Linked DNA regions of Alligator mississippiensis. The protein of the gene in region 1 interacts with the protein of each later gene in a biochemical or structural test. Links are inferred from orthologs where the notes say so. Each region holds a gene or a part of one and is shown in the gene's direction. Other genes may lie near its edges.

Region 1 (7,540 bases):
AGAAAGCTCACTGCACTTACTAAATCTGCTACAGTCTTAATTGCTATTTCATAATTTGAGATGTGGTTAATAAATGAAAGCTAAAACTTTAGCTGTTTTTCTGGATTTGGGTGTTCTACAATAAGTGTGAAAAAAGTCAGAATGAGGAGATATTAATGGACTGGTCCTTCAAGTTGCTGAGGTTTTGACTCATTCACCTCAGTGAGAGTCGATTACATTCCACACCTTAAAGAATCAAGCTCCTACTACATATGAATTTAAAACTTACTTTCTCCCCTTCATTCCAGTTACTGCAGGTTCTCAGAGAAAAGTGAACCATGATGCAGTTCCATATTCCAGCTGCTGCAGAGCCTTGCAGAAGCACAAGTAACTTGTAACAGCGGTGCTTTTTAGTATAACTGGGCTCATCTACACAAGACAACTACTACGAAGTGGTTACTGCATATTTATTTAGTACTTGTATAAGCAAGTACCGAATAAATATATAGTAACTAGAGTTACTGTACAGTAGCATCGGTGCATGTCTTTTAATAATACTGCACACTAACATATTAGCATTGTCTGTGCTGTGACACGCTACTGTGCAGTATTATTAGGCTACTGCGCAGTCAGCATCTCATGTAGACATGTTCATGATGTAGTTTAAATGTTTTTTATCTTAGATCTAAAAGGTCATAACATTTTAAGAGACTGCTAGTTTTTTAATCTATTTTTAACTTTTTCATTACATTTTCAGAAAAGCATACCCCCCCCCCCCACAAAATAAAATAGTGTCGTGTAGACTGTGCTACTGAGAAATGCCTGTGGTATTAAATTCCATCATATAGCCTTGTGAGGTAATATACATATTGACTTCAATGGCTCAGCACTTTTGAAGCCACTTATTTCGGTCCCTAAATAAGGGAGCATTCATAGCTGCCATGTTGTAAAGATTGTAGTAGACTTTCTTCTCAAAGATCACCTTTTGTTGTAAAATCTGTATGTTAAGTCTTATTTCCTTTTCATGTGCCCAAGTGGCACATAAGTAGTCATGTTGGTGGAGTTGTTGCCCCTTACGCACACTTTGGGATTCTGTTTTCATCCCTTGAAAATAGGATTGCCCTGCATGTTTACCTTCTGGAAGTGTTTAGGAGGGCTGCCCCCTCTCCTTTTAGCCCAGTAGCCTAGAGGTCAAGGCACTTTGTGAAGGAGCAGATTTGAGTTATATCAGCCCAAGGGGTTTGAACATGTCTCCTGCTTCCCAGCAAAATACTCCAACCATTGGGCCAGCAGCTAAGCATTGTCTAAAGTGCTCCCCATAAAACTGAACTGGTTCACAGTGAACTGGTTCAAAATAGTACTTGATTTTCCAGTTACACTTTTAAACTGTTTGACTACAAATAAACATTGCATTTGTCCTGGGAGAAAGCCTTTTTTCCCAGGATCTAACAGATGTTAAGTTCACTGTATATCTGTCAACATTACTCACCCACCCACCTATCTCAAACCTATCAAAAGCAACTGTATCTACTGCTCCCATTCACAGCTCTCACCTCTCCCTCTGCCACTTCTTTTTCAGAAGTCAGAAAATGGCCAAATAATTGTTTCATATTCCAGAACCTACCATCCCATGGCTTCTGATCCTCACTGCCATGTATTTGAATTTTCACAGACTTGCATTTTGTATATCAGCTTCTATTCCATCCAGGAGAACACAAAGTAACAGCAGATTCTCCCTAGGCCTGAAGGATGTTTTTGCCTGAAAGCTTGCAAAGAATAATTTTTCCAACTATTTATTTGGTCTAATAAAAGATATCACATTTACCTAAAGAACCTTGTCTGCTAAGTTCATTGTTGCACTTCAAATGCCTCTGAAATATTCAGGATAAAATGTGCTAATGCTTTTTCCTGACATGGTAATTTATGTCTCTAAGGAGCAGCAATAAATCTTGGAAGGGTGACGTGTAAATGGCTGTGCCACACTTGTTTTGATCTGGGCCAAACTCTGAGACAACCAGATCCATGTCAAATTAGATGTCTATTGACAGCCTACCAGACATATTTAAACTGGTGTAGTTGGCTTATATGTCTGTCCACTTCACTTTCAGCCATATTCTAAGTGTTAGTATGTGTCCATGCCCTCACAAATTAATGGACCTTGGTCACAGTTGCAGGGCTAGCTGCACCTTCCTCTCTTCTTTGTCCTTAAGAACTGCCCCTCAGGTGCTGGAACACTTGCCCTGATTTGTTTCTGGGAGAAATATCATTATTTTTATGCTTCTATTCCAGTAGTATATGCTACCCAATGGGCGCATCTACATGTGCCAATTAATGCAACACAATAAACTCCAGTGCATATCATGCCAGAGTTTATTGCTCGTGAGTGCTGCAATTACATGTGCACCCAGGACTGTAGCACATCGAGCCTGGTCAGAGCAGCCTGATTGGCAGGAGGCCCTGGGGGGGTCAGCCTGCCAGCCTGTGGCTACTCCAACCTAGCTCAACTTGCTGTGGAAGGGCTGGCTGCGGCACAAGGGTGCTTCAGTGCAAGGATAGCTGGTAGGCAGCCCACACACTGAAGCACTCTATTGACCCAGCCAGCTCCATCAGCATCTACACATGCATTGCTGTGCATGAAAAAACTCCACACTTGTATTTACAAGTACTAACCTGCTGTGGAGTGTATTAGTTTCCTATGACCTAATAGGGCCATATGTGTAGACACCGAGACATTCACTGCAGAGCTCATTAGGCAACTCCCTAGTAAACATCTCACATAGACGTGCCCAATATATAAGCCATTTATCACTCTGGAGATCTGACTTAGTTTCAGGCACCAAGATTCCCTCCTTTTGGTGACCTATGACAAGTGATATTGACCGACAAACTTTGTAAAACTAACTATTTTTACCTTAAAACACTACTTGGTCATACTGAGTCTTAAAATTCATAGTAATCCCAGCTAAATATGCTTACTGCTGACTTACAAGATGAGACAGAACCAATTTTATATTCTCTTAACAAACTCATATTTCCTCTCTGGGTAGAAACAGGCATCCAGTGGAGTACTGATTTTTTTTTTTTTTGGTGGGGGGGAGGGGCGGGGACGGACAGACATGCCCCTGGGTGCAGGCTGCTGGCTGGGCCCTTCAGGGAGTACTTGGTCCCCCGCTTCCAGTGTCTGAGACAAAACCCAAAATCTGCTGCCACAAAAAATGTGGTAACTGTTTGCCCAGGGACATTGCAAAGGGTGTCTGAAAGCCCAACCCCAGCAATATGAAATGACAGGGAACCCACGCTTCCCACAAGCCACTGCTTCCATCGCAGTCATAGCCCCCTCTTCACCCTACGGCACATGGCTGCAAGCACATCAAGGGAATTCTCTTGCAGGGGATTCTGGGGCATGTTTCATGCTGCAGAGCAAGGGAATCCCATTGGGTTCTCCACTCCACATCGCACCTGGGAACCAGGATTGGGCCCCTGCAGACCCTGGAGGGGCCTGACCCTACAGGACATCTTCAGGTGATGTCTCTACCTGTCAAATCAGATCAGCTGTGCCGGGACACTGATCCTGCAATGCAAATGATATTTTTCTAGCCTCTCTGTCCGTCACACCCTCAAAGCAGCAACATTTAAGCAACCCCCAATTTCTTTGGAGTATGAGCCTAATGCCCACAGCATTCAATAGCTATATCCCAGGGATCAGATGTAAAGTCTCCAGGGCCTCTGGGCTGGTTTTGCCCAGGACACTGTCCTGTACATTGGCTGCTCCTTTGCTTGGGCAGTTGGATCCATTCACTGGTAATCAGTCTTGGTGGCCGCCTGCCCTGTGCACCTAGCCTACGGGCTGCTCTACACCCCAGCATTTTACTAGTCTAAGAGTTGGTCAAGAACATGAGGTTTTTCTGGCACACCTGTACCAGTAAAAGCCCCAGTGCAGTTACACTGGTGCCCTAATTTGGGGGACTTTTATACTGGTGCTGCATTACTCCCACCACTCACGCTATTGGCATAATTAAAGCAGCAAAACTTCTATTGCATGGAAACAAAACCCAGCACACTGTTACAAGCCACGCTCATGGTGACCGTGTGCTGCCGGGACAGGGACCGAGATCCACCATGAACGCGGACGCCTCCGGCCCCGCCCCCACGAGCTCCCCGGTCTAGGACGGCCGGGAGTGCCCGGGACAGGGAGGGGGACACGCGGCGCCACCCAGACCCTGCAGGGGGCGCCCGAGAGCGCCCGCGGCCCTGCAGGGCAGAGGCCAAAGCCCCCGAGCGGAGCCCGGCGGGACAGCGCATGCGCCGCGCGCACGTTGGTCTCGCGCTCGTTCTCCCCCACTTCCGCGGCGCTGTCAGTGCGCCTGCGCGCCGGGCCTTCTCGGCCGCCGGGAGCTGCAGGGAGGCAGTGGCCGTGTCGCCCGCTCGGAGGCTTCCGCGCCGCTGCCCCGGGGCCGGGCCGGGCATGGCGGGGCGGCGGTGCGCGGGCGGGGCGGCGCTGGCTGAGGCGCCGGGTTGCGGGGGCGCGGAGCCGGCGCGGGAGCTGTTCGAGGCCTGCCGCAACGGGGACGTGGAGCGCGTCAAGCGCCTGGTGCGGCCCGACAACGTGAACAGCCGCGACACGGCGGGCAGGAAGTCCAGCCCGCTGCACTTCGCCGCAGGTACGGCCGGGCCCGCTGCCTCCCGCCGGGCTGCCCCGCCCCGCCTCGCGCCTGGGCCGGCCCTGCACCGCGACATCGCCGCCACCGCCGCCCCCGGCAGGCGGCACCAGGGTGTCCCCGAGCGCTGGGACACGAGTGGTCTTTGGCAGCCACGTAACTGGGACCAGCTGCTTGGCACGGGCGACTTCTAGTCTCTGCCGGGGGGTCACGGCGGGGTAGAGCGTCGCGCCACAGGACCTGGGAGCAAGGTGCTGTACGCAGCGCAGGGCCTCACAAATACCGGCCCTGCACTGGTTGAGCAGTGTCTTGGCCCCAGTGCTTTTATTCAGAAGTTTGCACCCAGGTGCATTAGCCCACAAAAAGCCCCCACGGCTGCCGTCTTCTGAGACGGGTGGTTTCCATCCTGACCTCCAAAGTGATCAGTCGGCTTTTTAAGTCCGTGGAGCCATGTGTTCATGAGCAGGGTGCCCCGCTAGCTGATTCAAATCATTCTTCCTTGAGAATGTTTTCCTTTAATTAAGCCGGGCACCCACTTGTTTGCTTTCAATCCCTTAATTCTTCACTCATCAAGGTTTTTTATTATTAATCAAAAATCTTTATTCATCTGTTGCACATTATGGAGGTGATAACAGAAAAATCGAAGCTCTGAGGAGGTAGTCATGTAAAACAGTACCATTTAAATGCCTGCATGAGCAAAAGAATCATCCTGCTTGGGTTTGCAAAATGGAAATTGAAAACTCTTACATCTGAAAAATAAAACCCTTGTTGCATTAGTTTAGATTCTAAACAGAGAGAGGCACAGGGGATGTGTGCCACTAGGCAGTAAAGACGCTGAGCGGTCACTTAATTGACTATACTCATCCCTTTCATTACTGGATACAGTTGCGTTACAAGGAGGTTACTGATGATTTCCCTCCTAGGACAGCTCAGCCTGCTAGACTTTGATAAAATCTGATAGAGCTGCCAGTCTCTTGTTAAGATTGACTTCCACTGCTGGAGTTGGGCCTTTTCTACAGTGACCTGAACTATAATAAAATCAAGACTATAATATAATATAGAACACTAGTTTTAATTTGTGTTTTGTTCCCTTGGTTAAGGTTTGAATATTATTAAGTACTGCTCCTTCAGTTTTCTGTCTCTGGAGGGATTACTAGGTTATAGAAGATAGAGAAACCTTCCAGGAAGTGGTAACAAAGGCTCTGCTGTCTTATTCACTGCAAAACGATTATTAATAAGCTTGGGTGTGTACTTTCATTTCTAGAGCATGTGCTGGGAAAATTTTGTTGGTTTAATTCTCTTCTAGAGAAATCTGTTCGCCTTTATAGACTATTGCTTTGACGCAGAGGTGAAGCCACAGCACAAGGAACTGTTTGAATTGGTTTGTGTCCTTGCATTGCAACTTAGGTGTCCTTGTTTGTTTGGTTTTGTTTTGGGTTTTTTTTAACTTTTTTGGGCAGACATTGTTGAATTCTCTCGCAGTCCTTAAATAAAAGCAATTTCCAGTCTTCTTCCTGATACGAGAGACACTTTATAAAGTGGATTTTAAAGCACACATAATAATGATAGAAAGACGGTGACAGTAGGATCTGGTTGAAGATTAATCTGGACTCTGTAGTATGCGGCAGAAGTGCACCTCTGGCCATTAAGTTGTATTGAAGGTTAAATAGACTGTTGGTCAATCCCTGTGCAGAAAGGTAGTGGTATCTAGCTGTCAAAAACAGATTTCATGTCACACAGGCAGACAAGGAGCATGTCAACCAAAAAGTACAATAGAGAGTTGGTGGGGTTTATGGTAACTAGATGCTGTTCCTGTGAATAAAATTTTTTTACAGAAACTCTGTTCATCTACGGTAACTACACAAAAGAACACACTACTTACAAACGTAAGTAGAAGGGCTATTAACTCAATGCAGAAAGGCTAGAGAAACCATTTCAAATCCCAAGGAAGATCTAGGAGTTAAGTCACAGGAATCTACACAATAAGCTTAGTTGTCATAGCTGGAAAAAAGGGTGGTAGAGGCATCTCTTGGCTGTTCTGCAGTGGAATGTTTCTCACAATAATGGAGAGGATAGGAAAGGAAAGAAGGCCTGTCTCTGACTCAATATGTGAACTCCAATATTTGGTCTTGCAAGTGGCTCCAGAGTCAGGAATAAGTACCACAAAACTGTGGGTGCACTGATAGAGATTTTTTGGGCCAGTACCAATGGCCAAATTTAATCTTCTTTTAAGGAGCCGTATCAGCCAATACTGATCCAATTCTGATATGCAGCTGGGCAGCTTGGACACCAGCATCAGGCTGGTACGTCTGGTGTGCCGGGAGGGAAGGGGCTTAGGGAGGGGCAGATTGAGGCCCCCAGGGTGAGGGAGGGAGTGGGGCAAGGGCAGGCACTGTTCAGCAGGGGGAGGGGGAAGCAGCTTCTGCCCTGCACCCATCTGTGGGGGCATGTGACCTGTGTTCAGGACAAGTGCAGGCTGCTGCTGCAGGCTGGGACTGGGGTGGTGCCAGGCTCTTCCTGGGAGGGGAGCAGAGCCAGGCTGCGCTTGGGACAGGTGGCAGTGGCATTGGGAAGGGGCTGCAGGGGGAAGGCTGCTGCAGCCACCCCAGAATTTGCCATAGCCCCCCTCCCAGCACTGCTGCCGCCTGCCCCGAGCCCAGCCCTGCCCAACACCCCTGCCAGGGATAGCCTAGCACTGCCCCAGTCCACAGCAGCAGCCTGCCTTCGCCCCACACGCAGATCCAGGGGAACATGCCCCCCATGACCTCCCAGGATGCGTGCAGTGGCAGGAGCCTCTCCCCCTGGTCAAGCCACTCATGACTCATCCCACGCCCCCCACTGGCTGTGCAATGCCTGCCCCAGTCCCTCCCTACTGCAGGGGCCTCAATTTGCCGCTCCCCACA
Region 2 (8,203 bases), on another chromosome or scaffold:
GCAAAATATGGCCCGCGGGCCAGATTGGGCCCGCGAGGCCATTCTATCCAGCCTGCAGGGCCCCTAAAAAATTTAGAAAATTAATATTTATCTGTCCTTGGTTCCTGCTAAAAATGACATGAAGAAGGGGCAGTAGGACCCAGGGGAAGCCCAGCAGGCTCCTGCAACAGCAGGGCCTGCCCGGCCCCACCCCCACAGCTGGAAGCCCCAGCAGGGGCTTCTGGCTTGGGACTGTCTGACTGCACCGCACCAGAACCTCAGGAAGAGGGGGGATGAGGGGAGAGGACCCCAGGCAGGAAGGTTCCTGGGGAAAAGAGGTCCCTCACCCGCCCTGTGTCTGGCACTCCCTGCTGCAGTTGCTCGCAGCCCATGTGGGGCTGTCCTGAGCAGGCACAGGCAGCCCCACATGGGCTGTTAGCAGCTGCAGCGTGGGGTGCTGGCCACGGCATGGGCGAGGGGCCACTTTTTCCTCCCTCAGCACCAGCTTGTAACCCGGCCCTGCTGCCAGCCTGAACCTTGTGCCGGCTCTGGGTTCACCCATCGGGGCTGCACATGGTGGCAGCAGCTGTGGCCCCCCCAGGGCAGTTTGCTGCTGCTGCCTACCTGGAGCTTGCACACTGGGCAGGCCAGAGGCAGCGGTGGCAAACGCTGCCCAGCATGACAAGTGAGGAGGGCTGCAGCTGCTCCCACCACGTGCAGCCCTGACAGGCGAGCCCAGAGCTGGCGCGGGTCCCAGGCTGGCAGTGGGGGCAGGTTACAAGCTGGTGCTGAGTGCAGGAAAAGTGGCCCCTCGCCTGCCCCATGCCCGGTGCCGCATGCTGCAGCCGCTCGCAGCCCATGCAGGGCTGGCTGTGCCTGCTCAGGACAGCCCCATGCGGGCTGCGAGGGGCTGCTGCAGGGAGCGCCGGCCACGGGGCGGGTGAGGGGCCGCTTTTTCCCACACACAGCACCAGCTCCTTCCCTGCCGGTGAGCATGGGGTCAGAGCTGCATGCTGCCCCCTGCCTGTACCGCAGGGCTGGGGGGACACTGGGTGTGAGTGGGTGCACGGGGCCCACACCAGTGTCCCAGGGACAGCACTGCCAGGGCTCAGAGCAGGGTGGCAGGGGTACAGGGTCCTGGCTGGGAGGGGCTCTATGGAGCCTGGTCAACTCCCCCTCTCCCTGCTGGTGCAGCCCAGCCTATCTCCACAGACCCCTGCCAGCCTGCGCCCTACTCTGGGCCCCACCGGTGCTGGCCCTGAGACATTGGTCCCAAGACATTGAGACATTGGTCCTAAGATGGTGACCAGGGGGCAGGGCACCTGTCAAGGGCAACCCATGCAGCCCTTGACAGCTTGCCAAAATTGGGTAAGTAGCTCTCTGCCTGAAATAATTGCCAGCCCCTGAGTTAGACAAACTTTCAAATGCAAGACATTCATCAGGTTGCTGATTTATGGAATGTCATGGCAACAACTTTACTGTTCCACTAGCACTGTAGTTTATGACATATTGTTAAATCTTCTTACTATGTTGGTCACAAGGTAGAGGCCAGAGAGCAGTCTCACAATGCCAGGTGTTCTACAAACATAAGCCATCCTTTGACCATTTTTTTTCAGCATAATCCTGTATCTTTAAAGAGGCCTGGACTTTATATTCCTTAATTGTAGCTTTTAAACGAATGACCCCAACATAGTTGTGTGTTATCATCATCATAATTTTGTTCAGCTGTGAGGAGGTACCACTGCAAACATGCTCAGTGCTGTCATTTATGCAGCTGAGTAGTCCTACTGACCTCTTGGGAAACTGATTTGGATGGGACAACCAGGGATATCAATTTCGGTAGCCAGTCCTTAATTTGAGTCACCTGCCTCATAGGGATGTTTGATGCTAATAGCAAATTTTGAAGGGAAAATGGTATTTCAAGACTTGTTTACAAAGTTCTGAAAATGAAAGAAGTAACAGGGCAACCCCGTTCATCTTCTATGAAGTTTCTGTATGAGATAGTGCAATATCCCAGCAAAGTTACTACTTAGAGAGGAAACCTTTAAGGAAATTCCAGGTATTGAGAAAAGTGGTGTTGCTTGATTTACTCTAACAGAGCACTCTTGTTTTCAAGTCACAGCAGAGCCAGTGCCTCATTCAGACACACATGGCTCCTTATTGCGGGAGGTGCCACATTTACAAGACATAAAAGCGACCTTTTGATCACTAAAGCCATTAAAACTCTTATTACACTTTGCATAATTAGGAGTCTCACCCCTAAGATTAAATGGTAACTTTGGTAACTAAGGGCTAGATCCAGTAAGAGATTTAAATACTATACTGATGAGCATTGCACAACCTTAGAGACCTGAACCCTGACAGTGAAATCTAGACTCTCAAGGTGCTTAGGCTCTCTACACAATGCAAAAGGGAGTTAGGTGATTTAGAATAGGATCTAGGGCACTCACCTAAGAGAAGGGGGTCCAGCACTTTGCATGAAACAATATATGTGTAAACAGTTCTTGAAGCATGGACTGCAACCCAAATAAGTGCTCTAAACACTGGTTCTCAACCTTTTTTGTACCAGGACCCATTTGTAAACACTGATGGCCAGTCATGACCCAACCCACTGCTCCCTGCTCCACAGTGTGTGGGGCAGGGGGTGGGCATGTGGGGCAGGGATGTTGGGCAGGGGGCCTCAAGCAACCTCTTGCAGACTGGAACTCTGATGGCCCGTAAGGGAAAAGCCAGTTTCCCACGTTTTTCTCCTTTAAAGGAGAATCAATTTTTGATTCATTTTTAAAGTTTGTTCATGACCCTTTCATATATTCTTGCAACCCACTTTTGGGTCATGACCCATGGGTTGAGAAACACTGGATTAGAGAACCATGCTTTCTCTCTGTCTCTCTGTCTCTCTCTTTCTCTCTGGCTTAGTAAATCTGGATTTCTTTTTTTGGAAAGTGAGACAGCTTGAAAAAGTTGTGTGGACCTTCTCCCCCACAACAGCTTATAGCCTAATGACTAGGATTCTGAGAGTGGTGGGTGTGGGCTACCTCAGGCACAAGACAGATTGGATCTGGGTCACCCCATAACCTGTGTGAGGGCTCTAACCACTGATCTATGCATAAAAGTGGGGAGATGGTAGTAATACATCTCTGAGTTCTGTGCAGCTCAGTGCATTGGCCATGCTCTTAGAACGTACACCCAGCAAACATCTCAGGGAAGATGAGAAAGGGAATGCCTTATTTCCAGTCTGTAAGGCATGGAGTAAGCACTGAGTTACTCCAGCCTGCCAAAACTGAGGTGCTCCTGGGCATAAACAGAAGGCAGGCCTCCAGGGACCTGAGGAGCTTTAACAACAAAAACAAGTAGTTTTGGGACTGAGGAATCTCTTGGGTTAGGCAGCAGCTGAGCAGGAGTTTTCAGATTTGGACTTGGGTGGAAAAAAGGCACCTAAGTCCTTTTTTTTTTTTTTTTTTTGGTTGGGGGGGTTGGGATCTGAACCAAAGTCCATCCTGCAGTTTCATTTTGGCTAGCTATGGTATTCTGGATTTTTCTTAGGATCGGATATCCAGAAAAATGCCTTTACTGTTAGAATAGTGAGGCTGTGGAATAGACTGCCTAGGGAAGTTGTGAACTCTCCATCGTTGGAGGTGTTCAAGAGGTTGGATAGGCACTGTTCAGGGATGATCTAGGCATAGAGATGCCGATGTTCTACCATGGGTATTTCCCATGCTTCTGGGCTTTGCCCCTTTTGTGCCACATGTATCAGGGGGCTTTTAAGCATTGGGGGCTGGCTACAGTGTGTGACTGAGGTGTGTCAATGCTGCTCAGGGTCAGACTAATCATCATATTTGGAGTCAGGAAGTCATTTTATCCCATGGCCAAATTGATATGGCCTGTAGGGATTTTTGCCTTCCTCCGTAGCAGGGGGTGCGGCCCTTTACACAGGATCTCTTGAGCATATATTGGTGACGTTTCACAGAAGCAGGACCTTGGCTGTCCTGGTTCCCCTGCTTTCCCTGTGGCAGGTTAGGGTGTTAGGTCTACGTTGTGTCAGGGTTGACGTTACTCTTATGCAGAATTTAAATTATGGATTGTATGGGATGGTTCGGCTAGGGATGATCCTGCTTCATGCTGGGGTTTGGACAAGATGACCTCTGGAGGTCCCTTCTAGCCTTACTTCTCTGATTCTGTGAAACCCAAGCATTCATTGTCCTTCATATTTAAAAATAAATAAATAAAAGAATAAGGTTGAAAACTGAAGTTTAAATAAATCAATGAATGAATAAGCGAGGTTGGGACTCCTGCCTCCTTGCCTTCTGAACCCTTCCAGGACAATGTGGAATCACTTGTCAGGCGAGGTGCTTTCATTAGATGTGACATCTTTTATGAGCCCAACTGAGTAGTTGGAAAAAGTTCTCAGCAAGCTTTTGGGTGCAATCGCCCTTCTTCAGGTACAGGGAGTCTCTGCTGTTCACCTGTCAGCTTCTTCTTTGCACCCATTAACTTCTGTTCCCTTCCCTTCTTTTCCAAAAGCAGATTCTTGGGAGGGCATGACTCCCATGAAGCGTGCCTGCCAGAAAACCACCAGGCGGCTTAAATTAAACCTGCCAAAACTAGCGATGGCTGCTTCTGCCTGGGCTGTTTAGGTTAGGGTGGCACTTGTCGTGCCCTCAGGAGGCCTGCAGGGAATAATTAATCTTCAGGCATTTCCTTGGAGCTCACTGCTGGCCTGAGGGAAGCTATGCACCCTGCACGAGTCTTTGCTCAGGTCCATCAGGGCCCTGGAGATTTACTAGGATTAGAAGTGAGCCATTCTCTGCTTGGAAGGGGGGATCCTTGTGGTGGGTGCTAAGAGATCCTCTTGCAGTGCCAACATCTTTGGAGGTTTTTAAGAGCCGGGTAGACAAAGCCCTGGCTGGGATGATACAGGCGGGGATGGTCCTGCTTGGAGGGCGAGGTGACCTCCGGGGGTCCCCGGCTCCAGCCCTCATTGTCTGCGGCTCTATGACTGCAAAGGCGCGTTTATGAGGCGGTCTCACTGCGTCAGACACGGCCCCGCGGGAGGAAGGTGTCAAGCACGGCTGGAGAAGAAACTTTGCGAGGGAAGGTTTCAAGGCTTTGACCCGCGGGGGGAGGAGAGAAAGCAGCCGCCGGATCTGGCAGCGGCAGCAGGAGGAGGCGGAGGTTGTGAGGCGGTCGCAGCGCAGCCCGGCCCGGCCCTGCCCGGCCCAGCCCAGCCCAGCGCTGGCAGGGGAGGAGTGAGCGGCGGCGGCGGCGGAGGCGGAGGCCGGGCAGCAGAAAATGGTCGCTCGGGGCTCATCACCGCCGAGGCGCCGCCGCTGAGCGGGGTCCTTGCGCAGGGCGACGGGCGGGAGCGGCAGCGCCTGGGCTGGCCCAGTGGGGCCCGGGAGCATGCGGCGGCGGCGGCGCGGGGAGCAGTGAACGCTGCAGCTGCGCGTCTCGGCGCTGCCTTCCGCCGCGGCTCCGCCGGGGACATGGAGCCCTTCCCCAGCGGTGAGTCGGCGCCGGCCCCCACAACAAAGTTGCGGAGCAGCCGCGGGGAGCGGGGCGGGGGCGGGGGCGGGGCCGGGTCGGGCCGGGCCGGGCCGGGCCGGGCCGGGCCGGGCGGGAGCGGCCGCGGGGCCTGGGGCGCCCGCTTGTTCCCGCGGGCTCTGGGGCCGGGCCGGGCCGGGCCGGGGGGGGACACACACGTGCCCGGAGCATGTGCCTCTGCACTACGCGTGTACCTAGACATGGGTAGAGACACGTACATGTGCACCCTGCCCACTTCGGTTAGTCTACAGACGCATTCATACGTGTGCGTGCAGATGTGCATGTCTGTGTATATGTATACACATACAAGGACACCTTGTAGACTAACCAGAGTAGATTTGTATGTATTGTAATACATGTGTACTAGTGTGTGTGTGTACAATCTACTTTGGTTGGTCTATAATGTGTACATATATATACGGACACATGCATATTGTACGTATGCCTATATATGTGTATGCACGTGTGTGCATCTACATATATGTATTTACTTTGGTTACGTCTATAAGGTACAAATCTACCTTGCCTTTTACTTGACTTCAGTCTAACACAGCTGACTACATCTCTCAATTACTAAGGATGGGAGAAGTCCACAAAGATTGATTGATCTACCGCCCACCCCACACACACTTCGATTAATACAACCCCCCCTACCTATATCTACTTTAGTTAATGTGTGTGTGTACACTCCCCCCCCCCACACACCTATATCTACTTTAGTTAATGCATGCACACCCTCTACCCCCTGCCTATATCTGCTTTGGCACATGTACATGTCACAAGGTTTTGTGATCTCAGTGTCCAAAATAAGGGGAGAAGTAAAAAAAAAAAAAAAATAAGAGCAGATTGTTTAAAAAAGAAAAAGAAAAAAAGGGAACAGTAACTGGTTTTCCTAGTGTTCCTTTGCAGTTATTTGTGCCCTGGTTTGCACTTCTGCTGTGCCTTTGCATTGGGGACATGAAGGCATTTTAGTATAATGTCAATTAAACCTCACTTTTGTGAAACAGGAATCTCTATAGAGATCACCACTTCCTCTGTTAAATGCAGCCATGTCTGAGGTGAAATTTAGCAGTAATGTCTTAACAGCAAGACTCCACATCTGCTCCTGACAGAAAAGGAAGTGAAATGACCCTGTCATATTCATGCAGAAGGGAATTTGGTTAGACAGCAGGTTATAGCCTAATACAGAATTAGGACAGGACGCCAGTTGCAAGTCTTCTTCCTATTAAAAATCTTGCAGCATTTTTAATGGTGTGGTTAGGATCTTGTTCAATTAAATTATGGAAATAATTCAGTTAAAGAGTGGGAGCTGAAACTCCAGCCAGAAGGCTCTTTATTGTGCATCAGTTTCTCAGTGATTTATCATTCTATAAGATTAGTTTTTCTGCGAAATTCAAGGATTCCCATATGTTATGAAAACTTTCTAGTCAGCATTATGAAAAATTTCACCAGCCCACCAGTGCCTCATGCCTTTGCACAAAGAGCTTTGAATGTTACAAAGTTTAGCAATCTGATTAATTTAGTTAATTCTGAACATAATTCCCCCTTTTTATTTTTAAGAAGGGCCCACTAAAAGTTCTTTGAAACACTTGTTGAATTTTATTACCTTGTAATTAAAGCTTGTACAGGAAGTTTGTGCTTAGCTCCTGGCCAAAAATGTAAATGTTCATAATAAGTTTTCTGGTGGTTATTAAATCTAAGTTGTCTTTTTTTCCCCCTAGACTCTGTACATGAGGGAAAAAAATCTTCATTTCCATGAGATTGATCAGTAACACAAATTTTGGGAGTTGGAGTTCTTTTTGTATAATAGATTAATAGGAACTTTTTACGTTGGGAAATATTTGGTATAAAATTGATAATCACACTAAAAGATTTTTTGATTTGGACTCATTGTTAATGCATTAAAGTAGGAGGCCTGTGTTTAAATTCAGCTCTGCTCTTGAAGTTTTCAGTGACATGGTGTGGTAGCCTCAGAGAATGCTGCTGAAAAGTGATCTCTTGCTAATAGAGGAGCCATGTTATTCCTTTCTTAGCAGAGGCTAGAACATGTGCCTTTGAGGTGAGGGCAGTCGTAGTGTGTGGAGGAAACCTTGGTCTTGGAGTCAATGTGCAAATTCTCTCCTACGAATGCAGGCCTGAATGGTGAAAACTAAAAAGTATGTCTATAACACGTATGGGCCTTCATTGTTATGTTTTGTGAAATGTGCTACCACTAAATTCAGTAACTACATATACACTTTATGTAACTTGGGCAGCTCTCACTGCCTGCTTTTTGAACACAGATTTCAGTTTTTAGGGCTGGCAGTTTCATACCTCTTGAACATTAAGTCTATAATAATTATGATCACAAGAAAACCAAACTACCCCCACCTACTCCCATTTTCATTAGCTTCTGTCTGTATTCCTGTGATATCTCTGATCCCTAATTGTGGCCCGGGGCCCACAGTGCACCTTACGAATGTAGAATAAAAAGATGATCTCTCCCCCAAAGACTTTTAGTTTAAATTGTTTTTGTGCTTCAGCAAAAAAGAGAAAACTGACCAAAGCCTAGGAACAATACATTCTAGCCTGCTCTTTAGTTTTCTGCAAAACTTTCGTTGCCCCTTTGGGCAGCATGTGACATTTGGACTTTAATAATTATTTCCTCCTTTAATGCCCTTTGCCCTCCAAATGCAGATCATGT

Evidence for each region.
Region 2: the proteins of TNKS2 (region 1) and LNPEP form a complex in vitro, tested with the Homo sapiens proteins (4 studies listed by BioGRID and IntAct, with this or other methods). The link is inferred for Alligator mississippiensis from reciprocal best matches to the Homo sapiens genes TNKS2 and LNPEP.

What each region holds. Positions count from the first base shown.
Region 1 is NC_081829.1:68,961,460-68,968,999, forward strand, and holds the start of TNKS2 (poly [ADP-ribose] polymerase tankyrase-2), read left to right. Parts: upstream 1-4,356; 5' UTR 4,357-4,444; coding exon 4,445-4,640; intron 4,641-7,540. UniProt on the Homo sapiens protein: Poly-ADP-ribosyltransferase involved in various processes such as Wnt signaling pathway, telomere length and vesicle trafficking.
Region 2 is NC_081826.1:238,312,018-238,320,220, reverse strand, and holds the start of LNPEP (leucyl-cystinyl aminopeptidase), read left to right. Parts: upstream 1-5,065; 5' UTR 5,066-5,462; coding exon 5,463-5,481; intron 5,482-8,203. UniProt on the Homo sapiens protein: Release of an N-terminal amino acid, cleaves before cysteine, leucine as well as other amino acids. Degrades peptide hormones such as oxytocin, vasopressin and angiotensin III, and plays a role in maintaining homeostasis during pregnancy.